Linked DNA regions of Astyanax mexicanus. The protein of the gene in region 1 purifies or fractionates together with the protein of each later gene. This does not show direct contact. Links are inferred from orthologs where the notes say so. Each region holds a gene or a part of one and is shown in the gene's direction. Other genes may lie near its edges.

Region 1 (10,917 bases):
AAGGCAACATTCAGCTACAGTCTGGTCAGAATCAGACTTGTGGGAAGAGCATGCAGATAAACAATAATTTGCTTATCACTTTAGCCTTCGTCAAATGACCTGAGAGAAGACGTCCGTTACAAACCTTCTATGACAGGATGTGCAGTGTATAGTGTGTGACTAATCAAAAGTACCACTTATCTGTCCAGAACAGAACTTCACACAGTTACACCTTCAAAGAAACAGATAAGCATCTCACCACCTCACAAGGTTTCACAATACGAAAGTTTATTCACGATAAGACTGCGTAACCGACAGTGAGAAAGTTTAAGCTTCTTACAAGTGCACTCAGGTCAAGCAGGCCTCTGGGAGGAGAGAGTGACCTGTTGGCCCGAGACTGCTCAGCTGGACTGCGCATGCTGCCTGTGCTATCATTTCTGTCACTCCTGAGTTCATGTGAACCTGTGGAGACAAAAGATAATCAGCATGCCAACTCAAAGCTCTTCAATTTAGTGAATTAATTATGTAAGAAAAAGTTAATAATAACATATAGCATAATTAAACTACTGCATTTTTCAGCACTATAAGTTACGGCGTATTATAAGGCGCACTATCAATGAACGTCTAGTTTCTGGTCTATTTTCTGGTACATTTTTATATATTTTTATGAGGCGCACCTGATTATAAGGAGCATTTTAAGAGACACTAAAATTAACTTGATGGGGGTTAGCTAACTCTTTTAAAGTCAAACGAGCGCTGGATGTTAATCTACACAGATTTCTCTTCTGAAAATTGTTTATTTGGGTGAGTAAAGCACTTCCACTTATTTACAGTAAGCTTAAATTGCCTAATTTCTCCTGGACTAAGGATGGAGCATTAGCATAAGCGGCTAACTGCTCCAGCAGTGCTAGTCAGGTTTAGCAGCAGACAACACGCCAATAATACTCACCTCTGAACGATGGAATAGCGAGCGTGGTTAGTAGGTAATGCTAATGTCGCATCAGCAATGTTAGCCAGGGTTAGTAGCAGGCTACAGGCTAATAATACTCACCTCTGAACGGGTAAACAGCAGTTAGCGGCTAATGCTAATGCTACTTCAGCCCCGATGCTAAAGAACAAAACTGAAACGCTTGTATACCACTGCAATTTGGCCTTTTTTCGCCTACTAACATTCAAACATAAGATGCACTGAATTGAAAGCCACACCGTCAATGATTGGGAAAATGAAAGGATTTTAAGTGCGCCTTTTAGTGCGAAAAATACAGTATTATTTTTAGTAATGTAAATGTCTGAATATGTACAAATTGGGGCTACATAAAACTAAAAATATATATAGCTAGGCCTGATTTTTAATAATAATTACATAGTTATCGTATTGTCATAATATATGAACATGACATCAATAATTTTTAATGACCTCAATATTTATCTTTGTGTTTAATTTAGTGAGGACATCATTTTACTCAGGCAGTCAGTCCAATAGACCCCATTATCCCTGTATTCTGACACATTTTTTGACATAAATTATAAATATAAAGCAAATTATAAATATGAAACAATTATATATTTAAACATTTAAATATTTTCCAATAGAAATGTTTGATTTTTTCCCTAATAATAATAAAACATTTATTGCTCTAAAAAAGTGTGTAACTGCATCCTAATACTTTACGATTAACCTAGATCAGTGGAATACAATGGTCTTAAAATTCCAATAATATCTTTTATAGAATAATTTCTGGGGTAGTGACAGGCCTATATATTGTGACATTAAAGGCAAATGCATGGACTCATCAGATTTCCAGATGTCAATCAGCCAACATTATTAATACACATGAATAGTAAATACTGTACTAAAATAAACAATTCTTATAAGGCCGAACATACTTATATATTATATTTTGTTAGAAGGGTTTGATTAAAACTTAAAAAATGCATTCTAACAGAGAGGTACAAGCAGGGTATTGAAAGTGCACAATCACTCAACTTAAGCATTAAAACATTGTTTTATTTTATGGGTGTTCATATTTCGTTGTATATATGCAACATCTGGTTTCCCTTTAACAAACTATTTCTGAATGACTGCTTTGACATTTCAGCAGATGGCACAATGGACACACACACTTCTAAGATGTCCTTTTCAGGAAGGCATGGTTCATAAGTTTTCTCTCAGTTCTTGCTGACATTTTTAAACCTTATTTAAAAGTGAAAGCAGCAGTTTGTGCAGCATCCTGTTAGATGTATGTCGAGAAGACAAGTCTTCAGTTTCTTTCTAATTTCATTTGGCATTTGAGATCAGGCGTGTCACTCTTCCTCTTACTGAAGTCTGCTTCCTATTTTATTAAATCCCAGTAGATTTAAGAAGCCTTGAGCCGTTCTGTTTTTTAAAATGTTTTAATTATATTACTTGTGTTGCATGTGTTTCCTTTGCATGTGTTTAAATATACACAGATACACAAATTTATTTTAAACTTCTGATACTAATACCAGATTTTCAGGTATCTGCTAATGCCATGTACAGATTTAGACATGAACTCTGATTCAATTGCCGTATTTTTCGCACTTAAAGGTGCACTATCAATAAACTTATATTTTCAGGTCTATTTTCACACATAAGGTGCTACAGATTATAAGGCATATTATGCGACACTAGTAAGGAACAGGGGTGTCGCCATGTTTCCCTTCTAATTTAGCAAGTTTTGCTGCTGGGTGGTGGTGGGGCTAGCTAGCATTAACTAAATGAAGTAAAGCTAAGCTAGGTAAACAAAACTTCAATTGAGTGCTGGATGTTAAATCTACACTGATTTCCCTCATGAAAACTTTTTTGGATAAACATGCAGGCTACAGGCCAATAATACTCACCTCTGAATGACGGAACAGCTAGCACTTAGCACCAAATGCTAATCCTGTCCCTATCTTGGTTCCTTGGGCTAAACTGAAACTCCTGTATAACGCTGCACTTCAGCAGAGTGCCTTTAATGCTCCTTACAACCTGACTAGTAAAATTCATACATAAGATGCACCGAATTATAAGGCACACTGACAATTTTGGGGAAAATTAAAGGATAGTGGGGAAAAATATGATACTCAATACATAAAAATGTATTCGTTTGATTTTGGTATCCTGCCAGAAGTGACTGTAGTGAGCAGTGTCTTATACATGTATCTCACCTCTAAAGTGTTCCTTGGAGATTTGGGTGGGAGTGGAGCTGGAAGGCTGTGGAGAGGAAGAGGACATCGACCACAACGGATGTCCATCTAATCCAGTTGTCACCCTCTGTCTTTCCTCACGGCTTTGTGGTCTTCCATAACGGAATCGCTCAATATACCTTGGAAAGATAAACAAAAAAAAATTGCTTTTTTAAAATGCTCTTGAATGTATAAAGTTTCAATATTTTAATATTTTTATCCTGAAATCCTGCTTTTTCAACTTCTGAACAGAGTCCATGTCCACTGACAAAGGGTACTTGGACATAATAATATAAAACCATTAACAGTATATTGCTTTTTGGTTCTTTATAAGTTAATTTTAAAAATGTTTGTCCACAACAGAGAAAAAAAGTTTAACTATTCTCTGAATTACTGAAGCATCCAATGGGTTCCTTTAGCTTTCATGTCTTGATGCGTGAATAACGGAAAATACAGATAATAAAGATTTTTTTTACATATATGTTTTTAAAATCAGCATTACTGAGCAATATAAACAAGACAAGAGCTTTTTCACAAGTTGCTATAGCATTCAAGATGATTACTATGGTGTGGATAGGTGGTGGTGGAGGTTAAGATAATGTACCAGGTGTTTACTGAGTGGTTCCATAAAAATGAATGGGAGTGAATGGGATAAACAAGGGATGAAAAAACAACAAATGGTCAGTGCGGGTCAGTGTGGCTGCGGTTTAGAAATTGTGGACCTGCCTCAAAGAAGTAGATGCAGTTTGGGGGCTGTCAGACAAAAAGGAAATTTGGTTTGGGTATGGACAAAAATAAACAGAATTGAAAGGAGCAACAAGGAATTAAAAATTGAAACAACTCAAAAATGTATGTCAAATTGGCAGTTTCTGTCCTGAAACAGTACTGGAGTGTGGGTGGGGGTCAGTGCTGACATTATGTAAACATTCTGCTCTATTAGAATACAATAAATAAACAAATTACCATCAAAAACAAATATGGATTTGAACTATTATTACAGGGTTTTACCCTCCCTGTGTGTCATACTTTGCCAGTACTGAAGATTCCTGAGTTCCACTGGGCTCTGTGTGATCTGCTGTTAAAGCCTGGGGCTCTGAGGAGGATGAAATTGTCACACTGGCAGGAGAGGAAGACTGATCGGTGGAAGGCCAGGACTCAGAAAATATCTGCTGATCTTTTACAGACGGAGGAGGGCAGAAAACAACTCGGCGAGATCCTTTAAGGAAGCGCTGGTCCTCTGGGCTGAGAGCTGCAGCGTGAGGAGAAGAGTCAGGAGAACTGGCCAGCTGGTCAAAGCGGACAGGGCTCAGGGCCTGGAGAAATATTCATCATTTAGCCTTTACACAAACAGTCAAATCATAACTAAATTAATCATTAGGATTTTTCACTTAATGTCACAAATAATAGCAAACCTAACATGCTACCAGTGAGTAATGCAAATCAAGTTTTTACTAGCAGAATTTTTTATTTTAGAAATCAAGTATTTATTTTATTCAGGGACTGGAATTTACTATATTTTTGTTCCTTTGGTCACAAAAAAACAAACTACCGGTAAAATGCAGAGAAAACCCCTCACAAACTAAAGTGCACTCTCCCAATATAGGAGGCTTCTCATGGCGGGGGATGTGAAGGCTAGACTACTCCTTTGACTCCCAAATAAAAACATTTATTAAAACAAAGTTGTATAACTATGAAATTAAAGTCGTAATATTACGAGAATAAAGTAATAGTATTTTAAAGGAAATGTAGTTGTAACTGCTTGGGATGCAGTCTAAGAAAGAAGCACGGAGGGAGGGGTAGGGGCATTTTGTGCTCATGATCTGTTACAGGGCTGCTGTGATAACCATCAGTTATCTACATTTCTAACCTGCTGCTTATGTATGTTCTAGTGTTACAGTTAGGTAATACAGTGTCCAGATTTTGACACGGTGGCGTCCCCGGTAGCCTACCTAGTTGGGAAAGCTTGTGCTACTTTTTTCCGCTGCATTTTAGTTTTGCTTTCGTGACCATAGGAACATAAAAACAGTCAATTCCAGTCATGAATAAAGGAAATAAACTTTATACTGATGAAGGACAACTGTCTGTGTGTACTGCAGTAGCATTTAAGGTTGCAAATTTTGGTCGGATCATCAAAAAAAAATACAAGCTGTTATTTGTTTTTTGGCATTATATTTAAAAATTAAATAATTCTCAAATGAAAATCAAAAGACCAAATGATACTGGTAGCCACTTCATGATATCCATTAAAACAGACACACATATACACAGACAGATCTCACCAGTCTCTTCTGCTGCTTAGGAATCTTCTTTGCTCGAGATGGATTGTAATGGGCTCTAGTGAACTGTGGTTCTGGAGGAAAGGGGTTGTGTCTGGTGAAAACAGGATCACTGTGAGGAAAGATTTAGGTGTTAGATTACCATGTCTATTGAAAGCACATATGGTTATGTGCTTATCACAGGACATCAGAATAATACAAAAAACTGCTTCAATTTCTATCTCACCTGGACTTCATGATGATATTCCCAAAATTTCTCACAGTGTTATAACCTTATCAGATTATACAATTTTGGCATATTGTAACAATGAACAACTGAATCAGATGGATTTTAGAAAAGCAGTAAATATTTACCTATGTTAGTTAGGTTAGCTAATAAACAGCTATCTAGCGAAACTTATTGCTTAACTAGGCTACACATCGAACTAACGTTAACGTTGCCTTAACCAGACAGTTGATGACAAATATACTAACTGTAGCTTAGTTAGCTAACCTAGCTTGCTAACATTAACCCAGCGAATTAAGTAGTTTACTAAATGTTCTGAGCGGTTAACAACATGTTCTCAAATCGTGCTGTCTTGTAACGCACTAAAACGTCTATAAAAACACACAATGTTGTGAAATATGAGTTAAATAAAGCCTCACATTTAACCTAAGCGTCTCCAAACATTAACTCCAGTAGGAGAATCTCTATAGAGAAGAGAGTTCCCACTTCAGAATGTTTTCTTGCTTTTTCAGACACTAGAGGGCGCTCCCGATGGAGTCTAAACTAAATGGGTTTAGAAGAAGCAACTGAGCAAAATCATAATTTATAAATGTTTATAAATTTTATACTAAAATATTTACTCACTTTTCTTAACACATAGTAATATAAAATGTTAAATAGCGCAGATATATCTTTAAAATAATGTAAACGCCAGTTATTGGTGTTTTAAATGTGCTGTTGCTCCATCAGCTCCATTTAGAAGGAGCCCGCGACTCTCTCGCGGGCTCCTTCTAGCGGTGTGTGGTAATTGTGTGAAGATTATTGGCCAGTCTCGCTATAAACCGGCTATGCTTTTATCTCCTAGCTACTCAAAACTGTTAGAAACGTCTAAATGGACCGCGAAGAACCAATCAGATGCTGAAGCTGCTGACTGACAAGCCTTTTAACTAATAACATTAAGGAACGCCTAATTGCGTTGACCAATGGGAATCGGGAAATCGTCTTGCGCGCGGAAGAGGAAAGTCAAGCGAACAGAAAAGAGAGAAGAGAGAGTAGCTTTCCAGCTAAACGGTAACTAAGGTGTGATTTATAACGGTGGACACCACTGTGAACATTATTTTTGTAGCAGTTAAATATAATATTAGACGTTTATTAAGCGCTGAGTAAGTGTTTTGCTGGTGTGTAAATGACTGTGTTATTTATAATTATCTCGCTGGCTGGTAAAGTCAACCCTAGCTAAACGGCTAAGCTAGGTTAGCTATTGAGCTGGTGAAGCTAGGATAACTTCACGGCTGTTTGTTACTGGTTGTTTGAGTTGCTTGGCTGGTTTATTATGGTCATTCATTATAGTTCTGTATGTGTTTTCTAATATTTACTCCTAAAGGGACATACATATATGGAGCAGTTAAAGGTTCCGATATATCAGCGCAACAAATTGTTAGCTAGCGATTTAATATTGTGTGTGTGTATGTGTTTTTTGTGTTTTTTTTTTTTTTACCTCGAAGCAAACAGTAAACATAACCCACATAACTAGATAAGCTATAAGCTATTACGCCCCCCCTAATGTATTTAAATAATAAATCAATAAGTTTAAATAAATAAGAAGTCTACATATAAAAGTGTGTTCTCTTACTGAAGATCTTAATATGAATGAACAAATGTGTATATATATATATATATATATATATATATATATATATATATATATATATATATATATATATATAATACAACAAAAATTATGATAACCTAGATGTTTTTTTTTTTATTTACCCATATGAATAATCCTCATTCTAAAGCTCACAAAATAACAAAAGGCCTGGCATTGCTTTTACCAAAGTATACATTAATGTATAAATCCCAGGCTCTACCAAGGTAGTTAGCTAAAAAAGAAAAGTAAGATGTTTCCAGTAACAGAGTAACTGCACTGCAAAGTGATCTAACATCCTGGCTGAGTTTGTCCAAAATTATCTAACTTAGAGTAACCCATAACCAAAGTTTTAGGTGAGCATGTGTTATTACACCAAATATGGTAAAAAGTACCTTTAAAACATTGAAGGGAACCTAGGTTCAAATAGTCAATTTCTTTAATAACCAGTGAATTAGCTGTTATGCATTTTACAGTCAGATTGTCAGTCACTACTGCGACAGTTTTATACACATATTTTATGTTTTTGTTAAGGCAGTGAATATTACTGTCTGACAGATGTACCTTTTCACAGTGTTTATTAATGGATTTGGCTGGGAAGAGCATTTCTTAAGTGAGGTCCAGTCTGCAGTCACAATGCTTCACGTGAAAATCAAGACCGAGAAGCCAGGTAAGCCTTGAACAAAATTTATATTTGGATTCTTTTGTTCTGTTGTACACTTTTATTTTTTTTGTGAATATATTTTTATTGTTTTTTCCTTTTTTCCAAAGAAACAGGTACATATAGGCACACAACTACAACACTATACACAACACAGCACACACACCTCCATCAAGAGTAAAAAAAAAATAATAATAATAAATAAAATCTCCGTAGAATATATAGCAGACATCCACATACATCCGCCTACATACAAATTAACACACAAGCACTCAAAGCACCCTTACATAATACTATGTAACAAATACCCATTCATCAGTTTATTTCAGAAAAACTTATTTTTTATGAAAGCAATAGCTTCTGACCAGTATCGGATTGTAGCTGCTTTAGCATGATGTAATCTGGCAGTGGCCCTCTCCAGCACAAGAACAAAAAAATATAAAAAAGTATGTTTTAAAAGAATTTTCTCCTCCAGACGGAATTTTAATATAGAGATTTTATGGCTGCTGTAACTGTTGTACACTTTTTAACAAAACAAAAAATGGAAATTATTACATAGTCTCAGCACTGTTCTTCACTGTATGAGTGTTTGTTTTTAACCGAGAAATATAGAAAAACAACAGCAAACAGCACTTGTTCACTCAGAAAAGAGTCCATTTTAATATATTAGTACTGTAGCTTAAAGGATTTTTTTAATGCACACTGAATAGAATTTATTTGTTAACTGGGTAAAGAAGGGAGTTGTGGTTAATTTTAATACTGTATTGGCTTCAATGACTTCAGAAATAACATATAGTAAATTGATATTGAACTTTTCTCACTTGGGCAAATGAGCTTTTGAGAAATAGTTCTTTTAAATATTTAAATATTGTGAATTTTTGGTCAAATTAAAAAATATTTTGTTTTGTAAAGAAAGCTGTGTTATAGTTGTTGGCGTGTGTCTTTCAAAGTCTATTGTTTACATTTTTCAGCTGTTTTTCTGTTAATGAAGTTGGATTCCTTCATATATTGTGTAATTTTGTGGGACAAAGTAAACCCAATGCCTTATAGTAAGTACAGTACATTCCAAACCTATATAAAAGCCCATTCATGCAAAAAAAAATAAAATAATGAATTACAGAATTTTGAAAACTACAGTGAAATACGTCTTTGGTTATATGGTCCAGCACTATACTGAGGCATTTAGACACTGAGTCTTGTCACAAGAGAGTATAAAAGTGCTTCCCCTGCTGCCCTTTAATAGACCACTGAAGTTGTGCGTCATTATGTAGTCCTCGTACGGCTTCCGTGTCTAAGTGGTTTTTCCTTATGAGAAAAATTAATAGGGTTTTCAAAAACTCGCCTCTGTCTTATTCTGTCGTAATAAATCTATTCAGACCCCTGTACATTTTATTTTTGTAAATTTTATTCCTGAACATCACTGGAGATCGTTTAAGAGTCGTAATGAGAAAAATGCTAACTTTAAGCTAATGCTACAGCGGAGTGAACTGACCTCCGAGCCCAGCTGCAGAGATCAGCCGGGGACTATTTTCGGCGAAACGCCAGCAAACTCCGGCCGTAATCCTCTGTGAAGAAGAATAATAATCCAAATGTGATCTGACCGGAGGTCGCTGTTGTTATGCAGAATCCAGTCCGGTGTCGTTTCCAGCTGCTGTGCTGAAAAAGTTAGCATTTTTCTAATTCCTCACCTTAAACGCAGGCCAGTTTTTGAAAAGTCCTTTCAAATTCCCTATTTATTTGAGCCGCTTAGACAAGGAACCCCAAATATTGGCATAAACAACATGGCGCCAACTACAAAATGACGACATGACTTCAGTGGTCTCTAAAAGCTTTCCGAGGCAACGTTCACTAGTTCAGCCTGTAATGCTGTGTTTAAAGAAAAGAAAAAAAAAAAGCAAAAAAAAAACATTTAAATAATTATCATATAATTTTAGTGATTACTGCTATCAGCTGACACTGACTGCTAAAATAATCTAAAACACTAAATATTTAACCAGTTATATATGATTTTCTTTTATAGATATTGAAGGTGCCGGTGCCCGAAATCGACTTGATGCTGTGTTGCAAGGTCTGGTGGACAAAAGTGACAATGAGAGGTCAGTATACCAAGAAGAGTGCAGTTCACGGATAAATAGAGATTGCGTAATTCACTGTAAGCAAGCTGAGAGCCGTGCATTTTCAGTGAGTTGTCCCGTAATTGTTCCTTATTTAGGATACTGTTAGTAATTCCCTCATTTTTAATACCTAAGAATAAATAGTGAAAAAAGCTCAGAAAGAATGCAGACAGGAACACTAAATCACAGGGACCTTTAACTTTTAACTGACGTTTGTTTAATATTTTCTCTTCTTACAACTGTTAGTTGTCTGTATGGTTCTATGCATTAGCCAGGCTTGTAAATGTACAGCGTTTGCTATTGATCTTCTTCTTGTTTCCTTTGATTTGATTAGTCTAATTGTAAATTAAGCAAATTTCCTTATTGGGGTTTAGGGATCCTAGTGAAGTTTTCTGTAGCCTTATATTTCAGAAGACAGCAGTTTTTTTTAGACCATTAAAGCTTAACAGCAGGGATGTTATAACATATTCAGCTTGAGTCAGAGTCAGTTCAACAGCCTTAGAGATCATACATAATAGAATGGATTTATTTTATCTATTCTATCTATCTATCCATTATGTGGAATCATTTTTTCACATTGTAATATCAAATTGTTTTTTTAGTGGCTTGTTACATTGCTACATAAAATAAACATTAGGACATTTGTGTGGTAAAATGTGTGTTAAGTGCTCCTCTAATGCTCAATTAGTTTGGGCAGAAAAAAAAGCATGGTACATGTCAAGCTTTTATCAAAAACCACTAGCGAGCACTTTGCTCAAGGCTGCTGAAAGTCATGGATACGTACATTAATTAGCCTATATCTGGTTATAAAATTAGCATACCTGATTAAACTGGTGTTCTAGTGA
Region 2 (10,967 bases), on another chromosome or scaffold:
CTAGCACTACGTGCTTGAACCCCTAATAATAATCAGAACAATTACAATAGGGTTTCTAGCACTACGTGCTCGAACCCTTAATAATAAGATTACGAAGAACAGTAAGTTGGCTTTTCCAAGCCAACTTAATAACTAGAAAAGGTAAAGTTCGTGAACGAACTTTAAGTTGGCTTGGAAAAGAACGCTAATAACGTTAAAAATTTAAAATGGTTGCTAAGCTGTTTCTGTCTGAAGAGTGTGAAGAGTCATTGATATGCTGTTAACCTGTGGCTAAACGCTAAATGCTAAAAATGCTGAAATCTAAAAACTTTTCTTGAAACGCTGAAATCTAAAAACGTTTGGTAAAACGCTGAAATCTAAAAACATTTGTTCAAATGATGAAATCGTAAAACTTTTGGTTAAGCTTTTGATTGCTAATGTGTTGCTAGGCGGTTGCTATCATTTCTGAAGTGGTTGCTAAGCTGTTGCTAGGCAGTTGATAATATTTTCCAGGTGGTTGCTAAGCTGTTCCTAACTGTTTGCTAGGCAGTTGCTAACATAAACCAGGTGGTTGCTAAAGTGTTGCTAGGTGGTTGCTAGGGTGTTGCTAGGTTGTTGCTAAGGTGTTCCTATGGTATCCGGGGTGGTTGCTAAGATGTTGCTAGGTGGTTGCTAACCTGTTGCTAGGTGGTTGCTAAGGTGTTGCTATGGTATCTGGGGTGGTTGCTAAGGTGTTGCTAGGTGGTTGCTAGGTGGTTGCTAGGGTGTTGTTAGGTGGTTGCTAAGGTGTTGCTACAGTATCTGGGGTAGTTGCTAAGGTGTTGCTAGGTGGTTGCTAGGTGGTTGCTAAGGTGTTGCTATGGTATCCGGGGTGGTTGCTAAGGTGTTGCTAGGTGGTTGCTAGGTGGTTGCTAGGGTGTTGCTATGATATCCGGGAGGTTGCTTAGGTGTTGCTAGGTGGTTGCTAAGGTGTTGCTATGGTATCTGGGGTGGTTGCTAAGGTGTTGCTAGGTGGTTGCTAAGGTGTTGCTAGGCGGTTGCTAAGGTGTTTCTAAAGTGGTTGCTAAGTGGTTGCTAGGCAGTTGCTAACATTTTCCATGTGGTTGCTAAGTGGTTGCTTAGTGGTTGCTAGGCAGTTTATGTCATTTCTAAAGTGGTTGCTAGGCAGTTGGTAACATATTCCACGTGGTTACTTAGTGGTTGCTAGGCAGTTGCTGTCATTTCTAAAGTGGTTGCAAGCTGTTTCTAAACAGTTGCTAACGTTTTCCAGGTGGTTGCTAAGCGGTTGCTATGTAGTTGCTATCATTTTTAAAGTGGTTGCTAAGTGGTTGCTAGGCAGTTGCTATCATTTCTAGAGTGGTTGCTATGCAGTTGATAACGTTTTCCAGTTGGTTGCTAAGTGGTTGCTAGGCAGTTGCTAACGTTTTCCTAGTGGTTGTTAAGGTGTTGCTAAGTGGTTGCTAGGTAGTTGCTATCATTTCTAAAGTGGTTGTTAAGGTGTTGCTAAGTGGTTGCTAGGCAGTTGCTATCGTTTCTAAAGTGGTTGCTAAGTGGTTGCTAGGCAGTTGCTAACGTTTTCCTAGTGGTTGTTAAGGTGTTGCTAAGTGGTTGCTAGGCAGTTGCTATCGTTTCTAAAGTGGTTGTTAAGGTGTTGCTAAGTGGTTGCTAGGCAGTTGCTATCGTTTCTAAAGTGGTTGCTAAGCTGTTGCTAGGCAGTTCCTAACGTTTTCCTGGTGGTTGCTAAGGTGTTGCTAACTGGTTGCTAGGCAGTTGCTATAATTTCTAAAGTGGTTGCTAAGTGGTTGCTAGGAAGTTGCTAATGTATTCCTGGTGGTTACTAAGTGGTTGCTAGGCAGTTGCTAACGTTTTCCAGGTGGTTGCTAAGGTGGTTGCTAAGCAGTTAATAGGTGGTTGCTAAACCCTGGCAGGGGTGCCGGGGTGTCCAAACTTTTGACTGATAGCTGCTCCATACAGCAGCTCCTCCATACACTCACAGTACTGGAGGAGCAGGGGAGAGAAGGGGTTCCGTGCGCAGAGCTGCTTGTGTGCAAGATGGAATTCTGGGCCCCACATTCATTTCTATGGGGAAACTTCGTACGACATTTGTACGAAAACCGTACAACGTATCATTTTATTAATTTAAAGATCTCGACAAGATCTATAAGCCCTCCGAATTTGGTCTTCGTATCTCAAAAATTGTGCCGTACACGGCTATTCAAAATTCTCCTAGTTCATTGTCTATGGGAAAAAAGGCGCACGTTTACGAAGTTTTTACGAAAACCATACGATATATCGCTTCAAAAAGCATAAGCAACCTAATCGGGTATAGGTCCTACGATACTGTAAAATTTTGTCATTCTACGTCAAAAGCTGTAGGAGGAGTAGTCGATTAAATTTCGCGAATAGAATAATAAGTAGAACTAGAAAAGGTAAAGTTCTTGAACGAACTTTAAGTTGGCTTGGAAAAGAACACTAATAACGTTAAAAAGTTAAAATAGTTGCTAAGCTTTTTCCGTCTGAAGAGTATGAAGAGTCATTGATATGCTGTTAACTTTTGGCTAAACGCTAAATGCCAAAAACGCTGAAATCTAAAAAACGTTTGGTTAAACGCTGAAATCTAAAAACATTTGGTTAAACGCTGAAATCTAAAAACGTTTGATTAAACGCTGAAATCTAAAAACGTTTGGTTAAACGCTGAAATCTAAAAATGCTTGTTTAAATGCTGAAATCGTAAAACTTTTGGTTAAACTTTTGATTGCTAATGTGTTGCTAGGCGGTTGCTAATGTTTTCCAGGTGGTTGCTAAGCTGTTGCTAACTGGTTGCTTGGCAATTGCTAACATATACCAGGTGGTTGCTAGGTGGTTGCTAGGGTGTTGCTAGGTTGTTGCTAAGGTGTTGCTATGGTATCCGGGGTGGTTGCTAAGCTGTTGCTAGGTGGTTGCTAAGGTGTTGCTATGGTATCTGGGGTGGTTGCTAAGCTGTTGCTAGGTGGTTGCTAGGGTGTTGCTAGGTGGTTGCTAGGTGGTTGCTAAGGTGTTGCTATGCGGTTGCTAAGGTGTTGCTATGGTATCCAGGGTGGTTGCTAAGGTGTTGCTAGGTGGTTGCTAGGTGGTTGCTAAGGTGTTGCTATGCGGTTGCTAAGGTGTTGCTATGGTACCTGGGGTGGTTGCTAAGGTGTTGCTAGGTGGTTGCTAGGGTGTTGCTATGGTATCCAGGGTGGCTGCTAAGGTGTTGCTAGGTGGTTGCTAAGGTGTTGCTAGGTGGTTGCTAAGGTGTTGCTATGGTATCTGGGGTGGTTGCTAAGGTGTTGCTAGGTGGTTGCTATGTGGTTGCTAAGGTGTTGCTATGCGGTTGCTAAGGTGTTTCTAAAGTGGTTGCTAGGCAGTTGCTAACGTTTTCCATGTGGTTGCTAAGTGGTTGATAAGTGGTTGCTAGGCAGTTTCTATCATTTCTAAAGTGGTTGCTAGGCAGTTGCTAACATATTCCACGTGGTTACTAAGTGGTTGCTAGGCAGTTGCTGTCATTTCTAAAGTGGTTGCAAGCTGTTTCTAAACAGTTGCTAACGTTTTCCAGGTGGTTGCTAAGTGGTTGCTAGGTAGTTACTATCATTTTTAAAGTGGTTGCTAAGTGGTTGCTAGGCAGTTGCTATCATTTCTAGAGTGGTTGCTATGCAGTTGATAACGTTTTCCAGTTGGTTGCTAAGTGGTTGCTAGGCAGCTGCTAACGTTTTCCTAGTGGTTGTTAAGGTGTTGCTAAGTGGTTGCTAGGTAGTTGCTATCATTTCTAAAGTGGTTGCTAAGTGGTTGCTAGGCAGTTGCTTTCATTTCTAAAGTGGTTGCTAAGCTGTTGCTAGGCAGTTTCTAACGTTTTCCTGGTGGTTGCTAAGGTGTTGCTAACTGGTTGCTAGGCAGTTGCTAACGTTTTCCAGGTGGTTGCTAAGGTGTTGCTAGGCAGTTGCTAACATTTTCCAGGTGGTTGCTAAGATGTTGCTAACTTGTTGCTAGGCAGTTGCTATCATTTCTAAAGTGGTTGCTAAGTGGTTGCTATGCAGTTGCTAACGATTTCCATGTGATTGCTAAGGTGTTGCTAACTGGTTGCTAGGCAGTTGCTATAATTTCTAAAGTGGTTGCTAAGTGGTTGTTAGGCAGTTGCTAACGTTTTCCATGTGGTTGCTAAGTGGTTACTAACTGGTTGCTAGGCAGTTGCTATCATTTCCAAAGTGGTTGCTAAGTGGTTGCTAGGCAGTTGCTAACGTATTGCATGTGGTTACTAAGTGGTTGCTAGGCAGTTGCTGTCATTTCTAAAGTGGTTGCTAAGCTGTTGCTAGGCAGTTGCTAACATTTTCCAGGTGGTTGCTAAGGTGTTGCTAACTGGTTGCTAGGCAGTTGCTATCATTTCTAAAATGATTGCTAAGTGGTTGCTAGGCAGTTGCTAACGTTTTCCATGTGGTTGCTAAGGTGTTGCTAACTGGTTGCTAGGCAATTGCTATCATTTCTAAAGTGGTTGCTAAGTGGTTGCTGGGCAGTTGCTAACGTTTTCTATGTGGTTGCTAAGTGGTTGCTAACTGGTTGCTAGGCAGTTGCTATCATTTCTAAAGTGGTTGCTAAGTGGTTGCTAGGCAGTTGCTAACGTTTTCCATGTGGTTGCTAAGGTGTTGCTAACTGGTTGCTAGGCAATTGCTATCATTTCTAAAGTGGTTGCTAAGTGGTTGCTGGGCAGTTGCTAACATTTTCTATGTGGTTGCTAAGTGGTTGCTAACTGGTTGCTAGGCAGTTGCTATCATTTCTAAAGTGGTTGCTAAGTGGTTGCTAGGCAGTTGCTAAAGTTTTCCATGTGGTTGCTAAGTGGTTGTTAGGCAGTTGCTATCATTTCTGAAGTGGTTGCTAAGTGGTTGCTAGGCAGTTGCTAATGTATTCCACGTGGTTACTAGGCAGTTGCTATCATTTCTGAAGTGGTTGCTAAGTGGTTGCTAGGCAGTTGCTAACGTTTTCCATGTGGTTGCTAATGTGTTGCTAACTGGTTGCTAGGCAGTTGCTATCATTTCTAAAGTGGTTGCTTAGTGGTTCCTAGGCAGTTGCTAACGTTTTCCAGGTGGTTGCTAAGGTGTTGCTAACTGGTTGCTAGGCAGTTGCTATCATTTCTAAAGTGGTTGCTAAGTGGTTGCTAGGCAGTTGCTAACGTTTTCCAGGTGGTTGCTAAGGTGTTGCTAAGTGGTTGCTAGGCAGTTGCTAACGATGAGCAGGTTTCTGAGGAGGAAGATGATGTGGATTATCGACTGGAAGACACAGACACGTGATCAGTCTGATGAGGAGGACATCAGTGCTAAAGCTGCTCCCGTTCCTGCTTCCTTTCGTGACAAAAAGCCCAGAATCATCCTGGACTATAACAAAAACAAAGGAGCAGTGGACACCATGGACAAGCTGACTGCCACCTACACTTGCTAGCCAATAACGAGAAGAGGGTCAATGTTTGTATTTTACAACATCCTTGATGTGTCTGCACACAATGCATTCAACATCAGCCACAACAGCCACAACCCCAGAGTGACCATCTGATTCAAAAATAAAGAAATTTCAGGTCTGCCCTAGCAATAAGGACAGAAAGACAAATACATTGTGCTTCACCTGCAAAAAATACTTCTGCAAAGAACACACAAAAAGTTTCACTTTTTGCCACACATGCCTCTAACAATACTAACGCACCTAAAAACTAGAACTTGATTTCTGTTGGTTTGATTTGCTTGATTGGTTGTTTGTTTGACCTTGAAAATTTCCATTTTATTATTATTATTATTATCTATAAAAAACATTTCTGTTCTTTGCCTTTTTCTTAAAGTATTTTATATATTGGTTAAAATTGACCTGTAACACCATAGATGTTACTAGAGTTAATATTATAAAACATATACATGTATTTATTTTTTACATTTAAGAAATGTGTTCTAAAACCCTTCAGTAATAGTCAGGGAATATATCAACCTTTTTTAAAGTTTTATTATTCTCTTGAGGTTCATTTGGCAATATTTTTATATTGAAAATCAGGGGTATGCTCTCAAATGAAGGGCCCAGGGGGCCCCAAAAAAATTTTTTAAAATCAAACCTTTCATGGATGATCAACCCTAACAAGGTAACTAAGAGGTGATAAACAAATTGGATCATAAATAATTGTTTTTAGGGTATCTTAGGGCTGATTTAAGACATGGGTCAAAACCGACCCGTTAACATAAGCAATAGTAACACTAGAGGAAGGTTAAAAGCCCATGCGGTGAACTCGCTGTTTTGTCGCCTCCTAAAGGAACTTCCACACGCTGCAATAATGTCTTCTTTTCATCTCCCATGATGCACTGCGTTTTAACGGCTTCAGTCATTCAAGTAGTGCAGTCGGTGTGTGTGTAGCTACGCGATCACTTGGAGCTCCGGATCCGGATCCGTGTCCTGGACTGGACTGGACTGGACCCGACCCGTGTTAAACTCGAATTTCCACTCCATGTTTCGCACACTGCTGGACTGAAGAGAAGCAATCGACTTACTCACAGATATATGACAGACTCACAGAGACAAACCGCCGACATTAAGCAGCACCAGAACTTGGATGGAATTTGACTCAGGGCGGAACGAACTGGGAGCGATGGGGGAACCTTTGCAGCCGGCGACGCCGAGCCGCCACGAGAAAAGCCTCGGACTATTAACCACCAAGTTTGTTACCCTGCTGCAGGAGGCGAAGGATGGAGTGCTGGACCTCAAAGCCGTAAGCATGACATATTGTCCGTGTCTCAAATGGTTCCGTGCTCCTTGTGTAGGGCGCTGCACAGCTCATAATATATCGGCTTCTCTGGGGAAAGTAGTGCATCGTATCTTTAAAAAATGGGCTTACCATTCCCTCATAGACCTCATTATTGATTGCCAAACCTTCCGTTACTTGTTAGTACACTAGTTAAGAAGGGAACACGGGGGTGCTTGAGATCGGACCCCAGTTAGCACGTTGTTGGTTAGCGTTAGCTAGCTAGCTCATCGTGTGCATTTACCGTGGAAACTTTTGTAATGCTTTTACAGCTTGTCTTACTCCTCTTCCCTGCTCAGAATCGTGGAGTTTTTGTTTCAGTTGTGAATCTTTTAATAAAGTTGTTCGAAAGTTAGTCTCGGCCTGTTTGACGGCACTTGGAGAGAATGAAAACAGCCAGTTAGTTGCGCGCCTCAGCATTGCAGAGCTGACTATGTGTCATGAGTTGCCGTATGTTGCCTTTATTAGTTATCTAGTTAATTAGCCATAGTGAGATTATTATTATTATTATTATTATTATTATTATTATTATTATTATTATTATTATTATTATTATTATTATTGTTATGTGGTGGAACTGGGGGTTACTGATCCTGTACTGCGGTCAAGCCAGCCTCCACTTCCACATACTTGGTCAAAGTAGCCGCCGCGTTGGGGCATTGGGACAACAGGACATTATGATGTCATTTCAAAATAAAGGCCCGTCAAATTATAACAATTGTTATTTTAATCTAGGTTTAGACCTGTATTATAAGGAATATGATATCGCAGATCAATTTCACGTAGTCCTGTAGTACACCATTTGTATATGTCACTCACTTAATAACGGGACAATATACAGACAATATAAAGGCCCATTCAATTATAACTATTTTGACTTAATATTTAGACTGTTATTAAAGACAATCCACCTGTTAATATGAAGGCTTTTTGGAATGTAATAATTGTTATACTTTAAATGATCTTTATTTTACATTTACACATCATATTGTCCTATTTTTAAGTGTGTGACTCAAAGTGCTGTACTATCAGGACTGGGTAGAACTTATCTTAGTTAGCAGATGGATTCCTTTTAAAAAGTTTAAATTCAGAGTAAAATATTATTTTTGTTATAATTTAAAGGGCCTTTATTTTGAATTTACACATCGTATTGTCCTGTTAAGTGAGTGCCGCACACACACATGCGCTATACTATCAGGACTAGGTGCCAATGATCTGTGATAATAGGGCTGCAGCTATCGATTATTTTTGTAATAGAGTACTCTACTACAAATTTATGTGATTAATCGAGTAATCGGATAAAACGTTTTTGCTTGGTTAAAGAGCAATTAATAAGACACAAGGGAAAACAAGACATTTCACTTAATAATGAATGACCAATTGGTTTCCTTGTTTAGATAAGTAATATTTTAAAATTCACAACATACTTTTTCCAAGGTACATATACAAATACTTAAAACACAATAAAGAAATAAATACCACAAGTAAAAAAATACATTTAATTACATTACTTTTAAATTTGGATTTATTGTAAGTATCAAATATAGGGTATTAATCAATAAAAACGGCATAAACATTGGCTTTGTGTTGTGCATCTTAGCTTCTGAACAGCAGAGATGTTGTTAGTTCTGCCAATAAGGGAGAAGTGTGCTGCATTCTTTTACCACCAAGCCGGTTCTCCCAAATATATCAGGACCTGTGGAATAATTGTGACGACAGAAGTATTAAAAAGGCCGTGTCTCCATTGTAATAAACTAACCACACAAATTAGACAACATTCCTAATAATCCACACTCCACAGGGCTGCCGTTATATTAAGATACATTAATGTTAATATCATTGATTTTATTCCTTTAAAATCGCTGTATTCCCTCACCGCTTCCATATTCCTGCTGCTCAACTTAAACCTCCCCCTCCTTCTTCCTGGGCGAGGGAGCTGAGTGCGTTATTTCACAATAAATATTGCGAAAATACCGCATTCAGAGACCGAGTCTTATTTTTCATGTTTAACTTTTATAATAGGATAGAGTTCAGATTGTTAAGGCTCTAATTGTTCTATTATTTTGTACATTCCTGTATTTGTTTATTATTTATTTTTTTGTTGCACATTGCTGTTTTAATATTGCACACTGCTGCTACCAAAAAAAAGCCAATAGATTGCATTACATATATATCTTAATTAATTTATTTAAATTTGACCTTTAGTGCCTAATGTGGTGTATTACAGATCACTTTGCATCACTTATATCAAGCCCACCTTTTGAAATAAGCTATTGTTAATTTGATGAATCAAACCAATGACTGACCATAGACTAATCTAAAACTGGCATAGGCCTCTCTGCTGTAAAAAAAAGAAAAAAGAAAATCGAGAATCGAATGGAATCGTGACCCTAAAATCGGAAATAATATCGAACAAAATATATATATATATATATATATTAAATATCTTTTTGATATTACCTTATGGGATGAAAACATATCAAAATATATATCGTATATCGCAATTCAGAAAAAAAATATTGAGATATAGGTTTTGATCCATATCGCCCACTCCTAGCGTAAACACGGTAGGTAACCGCAGGGTTCGTACAGTCATGAAAACCTGGAAAAGTCATGAAATTTCAAAACAGCAAATCCAACCGGAGCTTCAGCTGCTGCACTGTAACTCTAATTCACTCAGTGAGAGAAACTTGCTGATTTAGTGCTCTCCGGCTTCATTCAGACTAATAAAAGGCAGATACGCGAGGACCTGAACTGCAGAAATGTGACTTTGTACACAGGAGAAGGAGCACGGGCTAGCTAGCGTTAGCTACTTAAACACCAGACTGATGCTGCTGCTCTCATTCCGGCCCTGGTATTTACCCCCGGGAAAAGCCCGGTTACCCTGCAGCGCTAAAGCAACGAAATCTCGCTGTTCCTTTAAACTGTGATTCAACAGACTGTCCAGATTTAACTTCTTAAAACCCACCGAGGAGACATGAGCGCCCGCCCCTGCCTGTAGGACTGAGAGTAAAAGAGATGAGAGGTGTGTGTGTGTGAATGAGGGGGTTATGCTTATTCAGTGTAGGTCGGTTTATATACATATATATCTTCAATTAATCTCTCCACATTTTCCATTAAAAATAAATGTTGAAATTAGAAGGAAAATGACTAGCTCCGTTTTAGTTTCTGAAAGAACAACATAGCCCGAGAGCAAAAACACATTTTAAGTAGGATACAGGCCTACTATAATCAGTTTTATTGTTCATGTCTGCACTGATATTTTAAAGACTGTACGGTCATGAAAATTTGAAAAGTGTATGAACCCTGTAACAGCTTCAGACAGTCTGTCCAAAGCTGTGCACCTCACTTCCACACAGTTTTGCGCAAATATTTCCAGCTGAATTCATGCTTTTAATCCCAGAAACACGCTATTATTTACCTTTTAAAAGGCCATGTAAATGCTTAATTATTGTTGTTTTGCTGTTTTCCTCCAGTTTTGAGTGCTTAGCTGACTCTAAAATGCTGACTCAGCTCTTGGTCTGTCCAGATCTCTGTCCTGAGACAGCGTGCTGGTGGGGGTGGGGCTGGTGATGTCACTGATCCTGCGTTGTGTAATATTGGGGATATATATTGCAGACAACTAAAACAATGCGATGTAAAAAAAAATCCAATATCATGCAGCCCTAGTCTAAACCTAATGTAAAGCAACATCTATCCATCGTCAATACCCACTTTGTCCGGAGGGCTGGGGTGAAATGAAGCTGGAGCCTATCCCAGCCGGCATCGGGCGGAGGGCAGAGTACACCCTGGACAGGCCACTAATGTCAAGTAAAAATGTATATCATGGATATTTTTCAAGAATCTGTCTTTTTTAAGGTATATCACGGTATTATTTAATTTAATTTATTTTTTTGCATGACTGGGCTTTAATATAGGTTTGTGAGTTAATGTACTGTTAGAAGTACGTATAATATAAAAAATAAATGAATGAATAAATCAGACTTCATTAGCTGCAAAACACCTGAAAAAAGTGAATAGACCAAAAGAGATATGCCAACAACTTTAACACTGCTTCCTTTACAAAACTAAATATTTAAAATTGTTCCATAAACACTATAAATAGGCCTGTCGTGATACTTAAGTTACCGACTTATTGTATGATAATTATTTTTAACCGCTATCATTTTTGCCGACGTCGATAACAGCCATCGGGTCTCCGCGCGAG
Region 3 (11,663 bases), on another chromosome or scaffold:
AGAGAAAACCTATCACTGCTCAGACTGTGGGAGGAGCTTCAGTCAGCAGAGTACTCTCAATCAGCACAAGCTCATTCACACTGGAATAAAACCGTATCACTGTTCAGACTGTGGGAAGAGCTTTGCTAGACCGAGTCATTTCAAAAGACACCAGCTTATTCACACCGGAGAGCGTCCGTACTGGTGCTCAGAGTGTGGGAAGAGCTTTACTCACCAGGGTACACTCCGTCTGCACGAGCGAATTCACACCGGAGAGAAACCCTATCACTGCTCAGACTGTGGGATGAGCTTTTCTAGACTGTTTCACTACAAAACGCACCAGCTAATTCACACCGGAGAGAAACCGTTTCACTGTTTACACTGCGACAAAACGTTCACGAGACAGAGCCATTTCAAAACTCACCAGCGCATTCACACAGGAGAGACGCCGTATCACTGCTCAGAGTGCGACAGAAGTTTTAAACAACTGGGTCACCTTCAAAAACACCTGCGCATTCACACTGGAGAGAAACCGTATCAGTGCCCGGAGTGTGGGAGGAGATTCAAACAGCAGAGTAATCTCCTTCAGCACCAGCGAATTCACACCGGAGAGAAACCGTATTACTGCTCAGAGTGTGAGAAGAGCTTCAGACACTCAAAGACACTAAAGATTCACAAGTGCATGAAGAACAGTCACATAAGTGAGCAGATACACACTATTCCAGGTTCCAAAATTACAAATCCAGATTTAAACAACGGGGCTGGCTTGTTTATAGAGGAAAAAAACATGTTGCTTGAAACAGTTTCTGAAACATGTTCATAAAATATGAATTACAAACACGTGCACCTAAAATCCTTTAATTTTCCAAAAAATAATCAGAGCTGCTTATAATCCGGTGCTCCTTATGTATGAATTCTATCAGTCAGGTATTAAGGAGCGTTAAAGCCACTCCACTAAAGTACAGCGCTTATAAATACAGCGCTTGTAAGGCCGTCATAATGCAGCCTTACTTATTTTGGTGATTTTGGTTAAAAGGATATAGATTGTTTTAACACGGTAGAAACGCAGACTACAGTCCAATATGCAATATATTGGACGTAGCATGTTAAAACAAGCCACGTCCTTTTCACCAAAATCACCGTTTTTAACAGGATAAAAACGCAGACTACAGTCTACTATCCAATAATGGACTGTAGTCTGTGTTTTTACCGTGTTAAAACAAGCCACATCCTTTTCACCAAAATACGTAAGGCCACAGTATGACGTTTTGTCATTTTCGACCAATCAGGAAACCTTGTTTTTTTTCCATGAAAAATTAGTCAAATGATTGAGAAAATGCCTGGGCATGTTCAATTGGACCAAATTTCATTGAGATATGCAACAATATGCACTTTTCATTTTTCACCAAAATAAGGCCACGGTATGATGTTTTGGTCTAAAAATGACTCGAATGAGTGAGAAATTGTAACTTCTAACTGATAACAGAAATGTTATTCAGCTAGTGAAACGTGACATTTTAATATAGGCCTGCTATAACTGGTTTTGACATGGATTCTTAGATTTTTGTTTTTTTTCCATGTCTGCACTGATGTTTTAAAGATCGTATGGTTATTAAAATTAACTGCAAAGACATGAACTCTGATTAACAGGATCAGGATTTTAACCTTAAAATATTTGCAGCCAATCAATGTTTAGAAATAGGTCGGCCCTCTTATGGCTTAAAATGGCCTAGAACTATATCATGTTCTGTAACTGAAGCATGTTATTTTGCATGTTGGCAAGTGTTCACAGTCTTTATATAAATCTTATAAAAGTTATTTATACTGTACATGTTCCGGCCAAGTGAAGTTAAATGATGTAATCATCCAATAAATCACCATTAAAAATCATTTTTTAAAGCCTTGTGTGATATTTATATTTAGTTTATTTTGTTTATCATTTTATGTGTCCATACTAAGTGTTGTGTAAGATATTGGATATTATACAGTCATGATAATGCACAGTGTATCACGTAAACAAACAGACAATTAAATAAATAAATAAATAAATTGTTTGTATAGTCTTCATGCATGCCCACAGTAATGACAGCCTCAGTTGTAATGTCTTTCGCGGAAAGAAGCTTCTTTTGTCTCCTTTATTATTTGAACAGGCGGCAAGATGGAGTCACAAAAACAGTTTCTGGGTCACAGGAGCTTTTAATTTTGGGGTTTTTGTAGTGTTTAAATTATTGTATGGAAGTGTGTTCACTGTAACAGATACTGACAGAGGAGAAAGAAGAAAAAAAATAACATTACATTCACATGTACTGAGAATAGTGCTGCATGATATTGCAAATGTTATTTTTTTTGGCTATATGTATTGCAATATTAAATAATGCAGAGCCCATGAGTCAGCTTAATGCATCTGTTGTCCTGCAGCCATATAGAGTTTTAACTGACTGGAGGTTATTAGTAGATGAATAAACACAGTGACAGCTGCATGATTTTTTTTATTTAATTTAGATCTCAGGAGATCACAGAATTCAGCATTTCTGTAATTCAGCATTTATTTAAGTAGCTTCAAATTTACATTTCTAATCCCCCTGCTGAAATAACAGGAGCATATTCTGTATGTTATTCCATTATTCCTGTGTTAATTTATGACTAAACTCACCTTTACAACAGAAAGAAGAGCTGAGGACGGTCCAGTCCAGCTGATCGGATGAGGAGCCAATCAAATCGCAGAACTCTAGTTCCGGCAACTAGCTGTCAAAATAAAAGTTCTGAAACGATGCGAGACAATTGCAGCACTTGTTGACATCTAAATATTATTAATAATATCAATATTGTTATATATACATACTTCCGATTAAAATTTTTAGAACATACAATATTTTTGTTCTTTATTTTTGTCATTTAAACTCTTCAGATTAATAACATATTAACACAAAACATACAGCATAAAAAGTCTTAGCTGTTGACTAACATTAGTTGTAGTGCTGGAACATTTATTTAGAAATACAGACACTTATCTATCCATAAATTCTTGCGCTTTTCATGACATCGTAATAAACAACATACATAAAGTTGTAATTGTTTTCTTAACGTGACCTGATGAGCAAACAGACTCAGTTTTTTATGACGTTTTTTTATTGATAAAGCTTTGATTAAACATCAAAAATGCATATATATATATATATATATATAAAACCCTGAAATGTTAATACCTCATATAATGATTGCATAAGGGCCATTCCACGGAATTTCCAGGCCTGCTATTAAATATTAAAAACAAATCAGTCTTTAAATTATAATTTTATTTTTTAAGGGACAACATCTATTCAAACCAATCTAGCCCTGTGTGAATCCATTCATTCATTACTTTGGCTCTTTATGCACTTGTGTGACACTAGTGTTTTACAGTACCTGAAGCTCGTCTCACAATCTGAGCAGTGATACGGCTTCTCTCCTGTGTGAATGCGCCGATGCTGATTAAGATGACTCGGGTGATTAAAGCTCTTCCCACAGTCTGAGCAGTGATACGGTTTCTCTCCAGTGTGAATGCGCTGGTGTTGAATAAGACCACTCGCTTGAGTAAAATTCTTCTTACACACTGAGCAGTGATACGGCTTCTCTCCAGTGTGAATGCGCCGATGCTGATTAAGATGACTCGGTTGACCAAAGCTCTTCCCACAGTCTGAGCAGTGATACGGTTTCTCTCCAGTGTGAATGCGCTGGTGCTGTTGGAGAGTATTCAGAAGATTAAAACTCCTCCCACAGTCTGAGCAGTGATACGGTTTCTCTCCTGTGTGAATGCATTTGTGTCTTTTGAGACCGGTACTTCTAGTAAAACTCCTTCCATAGTCTGAACAGCAATGCGTTTTCTTTCCTGTGTGAATGCATTTGTGTGTTTGGAGACTAATCTGTTGATTAAAACTCTTCCCACACTCTGGACACTGATACGGTTTCTCTCCTGTGTGAATTCGCTGGTGAGTTTTGAGATCACTCTGTTGAACAAAACTCTTCCCACCGTCTGAGCACTGATACAGTTTTATTCCAGTGTGAACACGATGGGGTGTGTTTAGATTACTCCCTTTAGCAAAATTCTTCCCACCGTCTGAAAAGCAATGCGGTTTCTCTCTTGTGTGAATGCGTTCGTGTGTCTTTAGATTACTTTTTTGATTAAAGCTCTTATTACACTCCGAGCAGTGATACGGTTTCTCTCCAGTGTGAATGCTTTTGTGTATTTTGAGACTGCCACTTCTAGTAAAACTCGCTCCACACTCGGAGCAGTAATAGGCTTTTGCTCCAGTGTGAATGCGTTTGTGTCGTTGGAGAGTTCTCTTAAAAATAAAACTCTTCCCACAGTCTGAGCAGTGATACGGTTTCTCTGCTGTGTGAACGCGCTGATGATGAAGAAGATGACTCTGTTGATTAAAGCTCTTTTTACAGTCTGGGCAGTGATACGGTTTCTCTCCTGTGTGAATCCGCTGGTGTGTTTTGAGTTGACCAGATTGAGTGAAACTCTTTCCGCAGTCTGAGCACTGATATGGTTTTATTCCAGTGTGAATGCGCTGGTGTATGGTGAGATTAAACGGATTATTAAAACTCCTTCCACAGTCTGGACAGAAAAAGAGTTCCTCTCCAGTGTGAAGGAGCCGATGTCGGTTGAGATTACTCCCTCTAGTATACATCTTCCCACAGTCTGAGCATTGGTGAGTTTTAATCTTGGGTGTATTTTTCTTTATTTGTCTGTGAGGTCTTGGAGAGGATTTTAGCTGAGAATTGGAGGTTTTTCTGGGTGCCATGTTCTTCCCCTCTTTCAGTAGATTGAAATTTTGGTAAAATCCTGTGATCCTCTGGGTTTATTTGTGATGTTAAATTTGGAAATCCAACACCATAAGCAGGAGACTTGGAACATGTGTGCATTCATTTCTGTAAGAAAAAATAAAACATTTCCTCAATAGTTGTGGACATTTTGATTAGCTTTAGATTTTAATAAGTGGTCACAGATCAAATACAACTGATATTGACACAAAGCAGCTTTACAGAACAAAGAATCAAACAAATCACTTAACATATAATACAGAAACCCCAGTAAGCGTAAGAGTTCATGTAAACTTTGATGTAATCAGTAATGGAGAGTGAGTAACCAGTCCGAGGCATGGATAAACTGAACAAATAGATTGCCAAAACACACAACTGTTTATCCCAGCCATTTAAGATGCATATTAAATGCAAAAGGTGTGAACGGTTGTGTTTTTCACACTCCTTTGTCATCAGATCACCCTGGATGCATGTTAACGACAGGTGTGAACCAGTGAAAGTTCTGGTAACATGGTTAAACATGACTATGTTCAGACTGCGAGCAAATCTGCTATTTGTGAGTGATCAAATCGGATTTGCCTGTCTAGACATCACAAACTAATCTGCATGAGTTGCTGTGGTTTAAGAGCAGTATCAGTAACTAACCCTTCACTTCCTGCCTTAAATGTCAGTGTATATATGCAGCATTTACACATTTACCCACAGCACATTCACACTTTCATCATAATAACTAGAAAAAGACACAGAATCACACAGAACTCTGTAACTGTTAAAAGTAGAAGTCTTTCTTTTCTTTAGAGAAATTACAGATGAAGTCAGAGAGCGGTGAGTACTGTTTCCTACACCTTCAAATAAAGACTCTTAGAAACTGGAGAAAAAAACTGCTACAGGAAGAGTCACGTCTGGCTGACCCACATGGAAACAGCAGCTTTAGCCTTTAGCTCAGATTAACATGATAATATACATTAATTAACCTTACCAGATTCACCTACAGTCTTCATATACACACAGTGCGCTGGCAGAAGAAGTTATTAGGACAATAAAAAACCTGATTAAAGTCAGTAAGAAACACTGAATACAGAGTAAACTAACTACTGACACTCCGCCGTGTTCGCGCTCAGAAGACGCCAGCGGAAGACCTGCGGAGCTCCGCCCAGGAGCCCAGCAGCCAATCAAACTTCAGAAATCTACTTCCGCCCAGGAGCCGCTAGCCCTGTCAAAATAAAAGTTCTACAAGTGTGTTTGTCTCTGTCCCAGTTGCATAATACACACTAATTCTATCCCCCTTATTCAAGGAAATTCCTCCAGTATATATATTGTATATTTTAATGACCCTTTATTAGACTACAAGGAGAGATTTAAAGTAAACTTGATTAGAATTTTAGGTAAATATTATATACACAAAATGTTAATTTTCTAAAAAGATACACTCATTTCATACATTTATTATATAAGATCATCATTTTTTTACCCACAGTGGGGGAATTTGCAACAATAGCAAGGCACTCAGTGCCGAAAATAGATAAAATAAACAGTACAATATATGCATTATAAATAATACAAAATCAAGAACACAGGAGTAATGGAAAAATATTTGACATTATATTACAATTAAAAAAACAACTATTGTCCTTAATCTTTGAATAGCTTGAAGCTTTTCAGTATTATTTGAATCCTATTTTTCACAATAGGTTTGTCTGTTTAAGTTTTTTTTTTGTTATATTTGTGAATTGTGTTTGTTTTATACAATGTTAATTTGGTCTAATATTGTGTCTATTTCATTATGTTGGATTTTAAGTTAATGCATAAAACACAGTAGAAAACAGCATGAAAATATAGTTACATTAAGGAGAAAAGGGGGAGAAAATCCTAAATATAAAGGCCAGTGAAAGCTCATCACAAATTTAAAAAGTAAAGTTTTTAGAAATGTCTTGTTTTTGGTCATTCTAAAGGATTTCAATATAGTAATGTAAATCCAGTAAAAAGATTAAAATATTTTGGTATTGGAGTCAAGTATTTACATCGGTAAATGTAGTATTTACTCAATAAATAAAAATATTAGTAATATATTGCTAATATAGGTCAATGTATGAAAAAAAACGCATATTATATCTCTAAAGTTCAGGTTCACAGAGATGTTGGTAAGTTATCTCGCCGCCATGTTTTATTATTGTTGTTGTCGCTCCGCGTGACGTAGGCAGGTTCTTGCCTCGCTCCCATTGGCTGAGAGCGCGCGGGTTTCGCGCCATTCGGGACCGCGAGCATTGTGGGATAGCGGCTGGAGGAACCGCGGCGCTCCGGTTCTTTGTTGATAAACCGGGTTTATAGAGTTTCAGCGCGGAGAGAAGCGGGAGGAATGCGGGGAAACGGGTCGGATTCCGGGCTCGGTGGGCCGGAGGACGGAGGGCTGATCCGGGAGCGGCTGGAGGCGCTGTGTCAGGAGCTGAACATGGACGAGGAGACCGCGGAGGAGGCTCTGGAGAACTTCACCTCCATCTGGAACACCTACACCCTGGAGGTAGACCAGCTCTTTACCCCCATAAACCAGCGTTACCCTTAAATAAACCACATAAATAAAGTATTTACTCTCATTTACAAGTGATTTATTCATTAAACTGTTATTTCTACGCGTTTATGTAACTGACAGGCAGAGCAGAGCAGCTGAAGCTTCTTTATTAAAGTGTATGTTTTAAAGCCCACAGCTGACCTGGGATCAGAGCAATCCCTTCCACCTTAAATTATTACAGTAGTCTGTGTTGGATCTTAAGGTGGAACGGACTATTCCAACATACAGTCAGCTGTGTGACAAACAAAAGAATAATAATAATATATTTCCCTAAAAAAAAACTTTTTAAAAGCTTGAGTATGATTTGCCTCTTTGACCAAACATTAAAAACTCATATAACCCGTTGTTTATAGGACTTTTGTTGTGTATCACTTTTAAAACATCCGGAATTTGTTGCTTTGTTTGTTTATTTAATTATGTATGTATTTGTGTATGTATGTATGTATGTATGTATGTATGTATGTATTTATTAATTAGAATAAAGCAAGACTTTACGAAAACTAACTATATCTCTACTCTGATAAACTTTTACAGTTTTACAGATACAGGTACCTGGGTTAAATAACACTGACCAGTGAATAAACAAACCACACACTACACTAAGGAAAAAAAAAAAATAAATAAATAAGTATATCTGAATATAAAAAATACCACAGAAGGACATATTGTGCTCATTACCAAATGTATATTTTGAATATCACACATAGAGCAGAAAATATAATAATAATAATAATAATAATAATAATAATAATAATAATAGAAGAACAGTTATGTACAACAGTCATAATGCTTCACAGTATGATAGCACAATATGTATGGAAATATCTTAATTGTAATGTATTCAAGGTTGCTATATTATAGTTATTTGTAGTACGTATATAACTAGAGATCTAGTCCTGGACTAGAATGCAGTACCTGTGTTTTAATGTTCTGTACAGAAGCGTCTCCTGGTCTGATTTTAATGGTGTGTATGATTGTATTCTCTCTCAGGGTGAGGTGGTTCACTGGCTGGCCTGTGCTCTGTACGCTGCCTGTAGAAAGGCTTCTATTCCCACTGTGGGGAGAGGACTGGTGGAAGGAAACTGCGTCTCCCTCACCAGGATACTGCGCTCCTCCAAACTCAGGTAAAGAGTTATTTGCACCTTTGTCTCATGTCATCATACGTTCTCATTAAAAACATTAGTTTGCCTAGCTTAGTGCAGCTTCGTATCCAGAAGTATCCCAACACCACCCATAACCCTTTGAATGTAATTGACGCAAATTGCGGCAAAAATCATGCTTGTTGTTTATACAACTTAATTACTCAGGAACGCATCTACGCACCAACCTGATCATACATTGTGACAAACAGGAAACCCTATTGTTTAAAAAAATCGAACTGACCCCCCGCTGAACTGAAGTGATTTTGAGAAATCTATTGTGAAATACACAGTGCACACGCAGCTTTCAGGTGCGCTCTGAGAGAGTCAGTGCTCACAGGCTTCAGTTATGGATGGGCAGCGACAGAAGCTCATCTGAATGAGGAGAATTACTGTTTTTTTCTATTTTGTATATATATATATATCTATATAGTGTATATTATAATTAAACAGCATTTATCTGATCATTTTGTTGAAGAACTCTTTATTATAATAGTTACTGTTATTATAAGCAGCTAATAGTAAATATCCAGTGTACTAAATCACTTTCATTAGATACGCCTGGTGCTGCTCATGTATTCTGTCGCAGTAATAAGCCATGTAATGAACTATCATCAAAATCCTTATTCTTTCCACTAGTATACACTCTAATCTAACTATTATTGAAAATAAAACACTTGTGTAAATTAATTTGTAGTCTGTACATAAAGTCTGTATAAAGAAAAGTAATAGCATGTGTCTTTCACCTCACATAACTGTGTTATAACGAGTAAAATGGGAACTGACAAAAACAGAGAAAAAACACACCAAAATAAGCTGGGGTTCAAAAGCTTAATGAGTGAAATCAGCTTCTTAATCAGTGGTGAGCAGCCATACTGAGGTAGTGGCCCAGCAAAATAGCACTGTTCACAAGGGTGTATAGAACCAAACAGAGCCTACTGAATTCAATAAAATACAGAAAACCACTATTCCATTATTCTGATCTTCCTCTTCTTCTCTCTTCCAGCCTGATTCAGTTCTTCAGTAAGATGAAGAAATGGGCGGACATGTCGAACCTCCTGCAGGACTTCCGGAACCGAATCAGCCACCTGGAGAGGAATTTTGAAGTGTCCACTGTGATTTTCCGTAAATTTGAGCCCATCTTTCTGGACATGTTTCAGAATCCTCAGGGTGAACCCCCCCGCGTGCCGAGAGGCAGGAAGCACAGGTGAATTTCCACTCGTGTCTTCATGTGTTCTCATCATCCATTAACTGTGTTAAATTTAAGTTATAATACTCTCGAGGTTCGTGCTATAACGTGTAATATTGGCACTGCTGTGCTGCGGTTGTAGGCACGAGGCCACAGGCCGAGTATAGAGTAGATGAGTACAGCAGTGCCAATATTACACTTTATAACTCGAACCTAGAGTGTATTATTGTTTTTGTATTATTATACCACAGTTCCATTATCACTGTTTTCTGAAAGATTTTAAAGAGTTAAAGAGGAGGAGAAAATAGGATCTATTTGGTTATAAAAACTCCACCAGTTAAAATAGTTCCATTGCTGCTCTGTTTGTAGCTGCGCTGTTTGGCTTGTAAGCGCTGCATCGTTGCTAGGTTACCTGTATGTGGCAGAGTAATACAGTAATACATGGAGAGCTTCGGTTACAGTGCATTACCGGCTGATAACAGCACTCATAGAACGCCTCTCAGCCAATCACATTGCAGGGTCGTAACTAAGTGTGGGAGAATAAATGTTTATACATAGTTTCTCACTTTTATTTATTTTGTTGAGTTATAAATGGTTTATAATTACGTTGTCTCTCTTCTAGGCGCCTTCCGTGTCACATCAGTGACGTTTTTAAATTCTGTTGGACTCTCTTCGTGTACACTAAAGGTTGGTTGCTTTTCTTTTATGGGCTTATGTCAAGAAATGCTAGTTTGTTCTTTATTAATGAATGTAAAGTGTTGAAAATGAGATGCAGCAGAACACTGTATGTCTAAAAGCTTGTAGACCTTTTCTCTTTATTGTAAAATGGAATGTTGCAAAAGCAATGGTAAAATTAATCAATCAGTAACCGTATTTTTTGGACTATAAGGTGCACTTTTGCCAAAAATCAACAGAGCTCCTTATGATCCGGTGCTCCTTATGTATAAATTCTGGCAGTCAGGTATTAAGGAGCAGTAAAGACACTTCACTGAAGTACAGAGTTATAATTGTGACGTTTTATAGAAGTTTCTCCAGCACTAAGGCAGGGGCAGCAACATTAGCATTAGCCACTAACCAGCCTAAGCGCTAGCTCTTTCATCGTTTAGAGGCAAGTATATCAGACTGTAGTCTGCATGTTTACCGTGTTAAAACAAGCTACGTGGGACGAACCGCTTGCTAATATCGCCCTGAGTTAGAGAAACACTCACGGTTCTCCGTATAGCGCTATATCGGTCTGCATTTACTAGCGCTAACCGCATCTACCGCTGCTGTTTCCCCAGCTTCCCCATTATAAGGTAAACATGGCAAGACCCCTATTCCTTACTAGTGTCGCTTAAAATGCACTTTATAATCATGTGTGCCTTATGTATGAAAATAATCCAGAAACTAGCGTTCATTGATGGTGCGCTTTTTCTTTTTTCTTTTTCCGAGCTCTAAAACTGTGTTGATTTAATTATGTAACGCAGGTAATTTCCGTATGATCGGAGATGATCTGGTGAACTCTTACCATCTCCTCCTCTGCTGTCTGGATCTGGTGTATGGTAACGCTCTACTCTGCGCCAATAAGAAGGACCTTGTCAATCCGCTTTTTAGAGGTAAATATTATCATTTTTAAGCATTAAGAAGACAATGGGACATATATATTTCTGTACTGCTTTGAATATCACATACCTTTTTATCATGTTTCTTTTTTTCTTTCTTTATTTTAACATTCTGTATTAATTCTAACTGAGTGTTTACAGTAGCTGCAGTCATGTAAAAAAAAATAGCACAATCTTTGTCTATCTTTTTAAACATACATAAACATATGAACATTTGAGCTTTTAAATTTAGGACACCCTATCCACTAATATCTGATATTTCCCTCCTTGTTTGAAATAACCCCAGTTAGACATTTCCTTTAACTAACTACCAGTCTTTGACATTGCCTGTGTGAATTTCATCCCACTCCTCCATGCAGAATTCTTTCAGCTGTGTGATGTTT

What was found.
Region 2: the proteins of lin37 (region 1) and e2f4 purify together in Homo sapiens (co-immunoprecipitation; 4 studies listed by BioGRID and IntAct, with this or other methods). This does not show direct contact. The link is inferred for Astyanax mexicanus from reciprocal best matches to the Homo sapiens genes LIN37 and E2F4.
Region 3: the proteins of lin37 (region 1) and rbl1 purify together in Homo sapiens (affinity purification with mass spectrometry; 3 studies listed by BioGRID and IntAct, with this or other methods). This does not show direct contact. The link is inferred for Astyanax mexicanus from reciprocal best matches to the Homo sapiens genes LIN37 and RBL1.

Annotation. Positions count from the first base shown.
Region 1 is NC_064425.1:26,442,383-26,453,299, reverse strand, and holds the start of lin37 (protein lin-37 homolog), read left to right. Parts: upstream 1-6,521; 5' UTR 6,522-6,632; coding exon 6,633-6,720; exon of another isoform or gene 6,721-6,729; intron 6,730-7,033; exon of another isoform or gene 7,034-7,086; intron 7,087-7,871; coding exon 7,872-7,967; intron 7,968-9,978; coding exon 9,979-10,054; intron 10,055-10,917. Other genes in the region: proser3 (proline and serine-rich protein 3), read right to left, coding at 320-441, 3,151-3,308, 4,195-4,481, 5,448-5,556, 5,671-5,681.
Region 2 is NC_064417.1:15,560,561-15,571,527, reverse strand, and holds the start of e2f4 (transcription factor E2F4), read left to right. Parts: upstream 1-6,327; 5' UTR 6,328-6,571; coding exon 6,572-6,727; intron 6,728-10,967. UniProt on the Homo sapiens protein: Transcription activator that binds DNA cooperatively with DP proteins through the E2 recognition site, 5'-TTTC[CG]CGC-3' found in the promoter region of a number of genes whose products are involved in cell cycle regulation or in DNA replication.
Region 3 is NC_064412.1:57,359,840-57,371,502, forward strand, and holds the start of rbl1 (retinoblastoma-like protein 1), read left to right. Parts: upstream 1-7,023; 5' UTR 7,024-7,141; coding exon 7,142-7,303; intron 7,304-8,341; coding exon 8,342-8,475; intron 8,476-9,496; coding exon 9,497-9,697; intron 9,698-10,301; coding exon 10,302-10,366; intron 10,367-11,145; coding exon 11,146-11,274; intron 11,275-11,663. Other genes in the region: zinc finger protein 501, read left to right, coding at 1-802; zinc finger protein 585A, read right to left, coding at 3,330-4,766. UniProt on the Homo sapiens protein: Key regulator of entry into cell division. Directly involved in heterochromatin formation by maintaining overall chromatin structure and, in particular, that of constitutive heterochromatin by stabilizing histone methylation.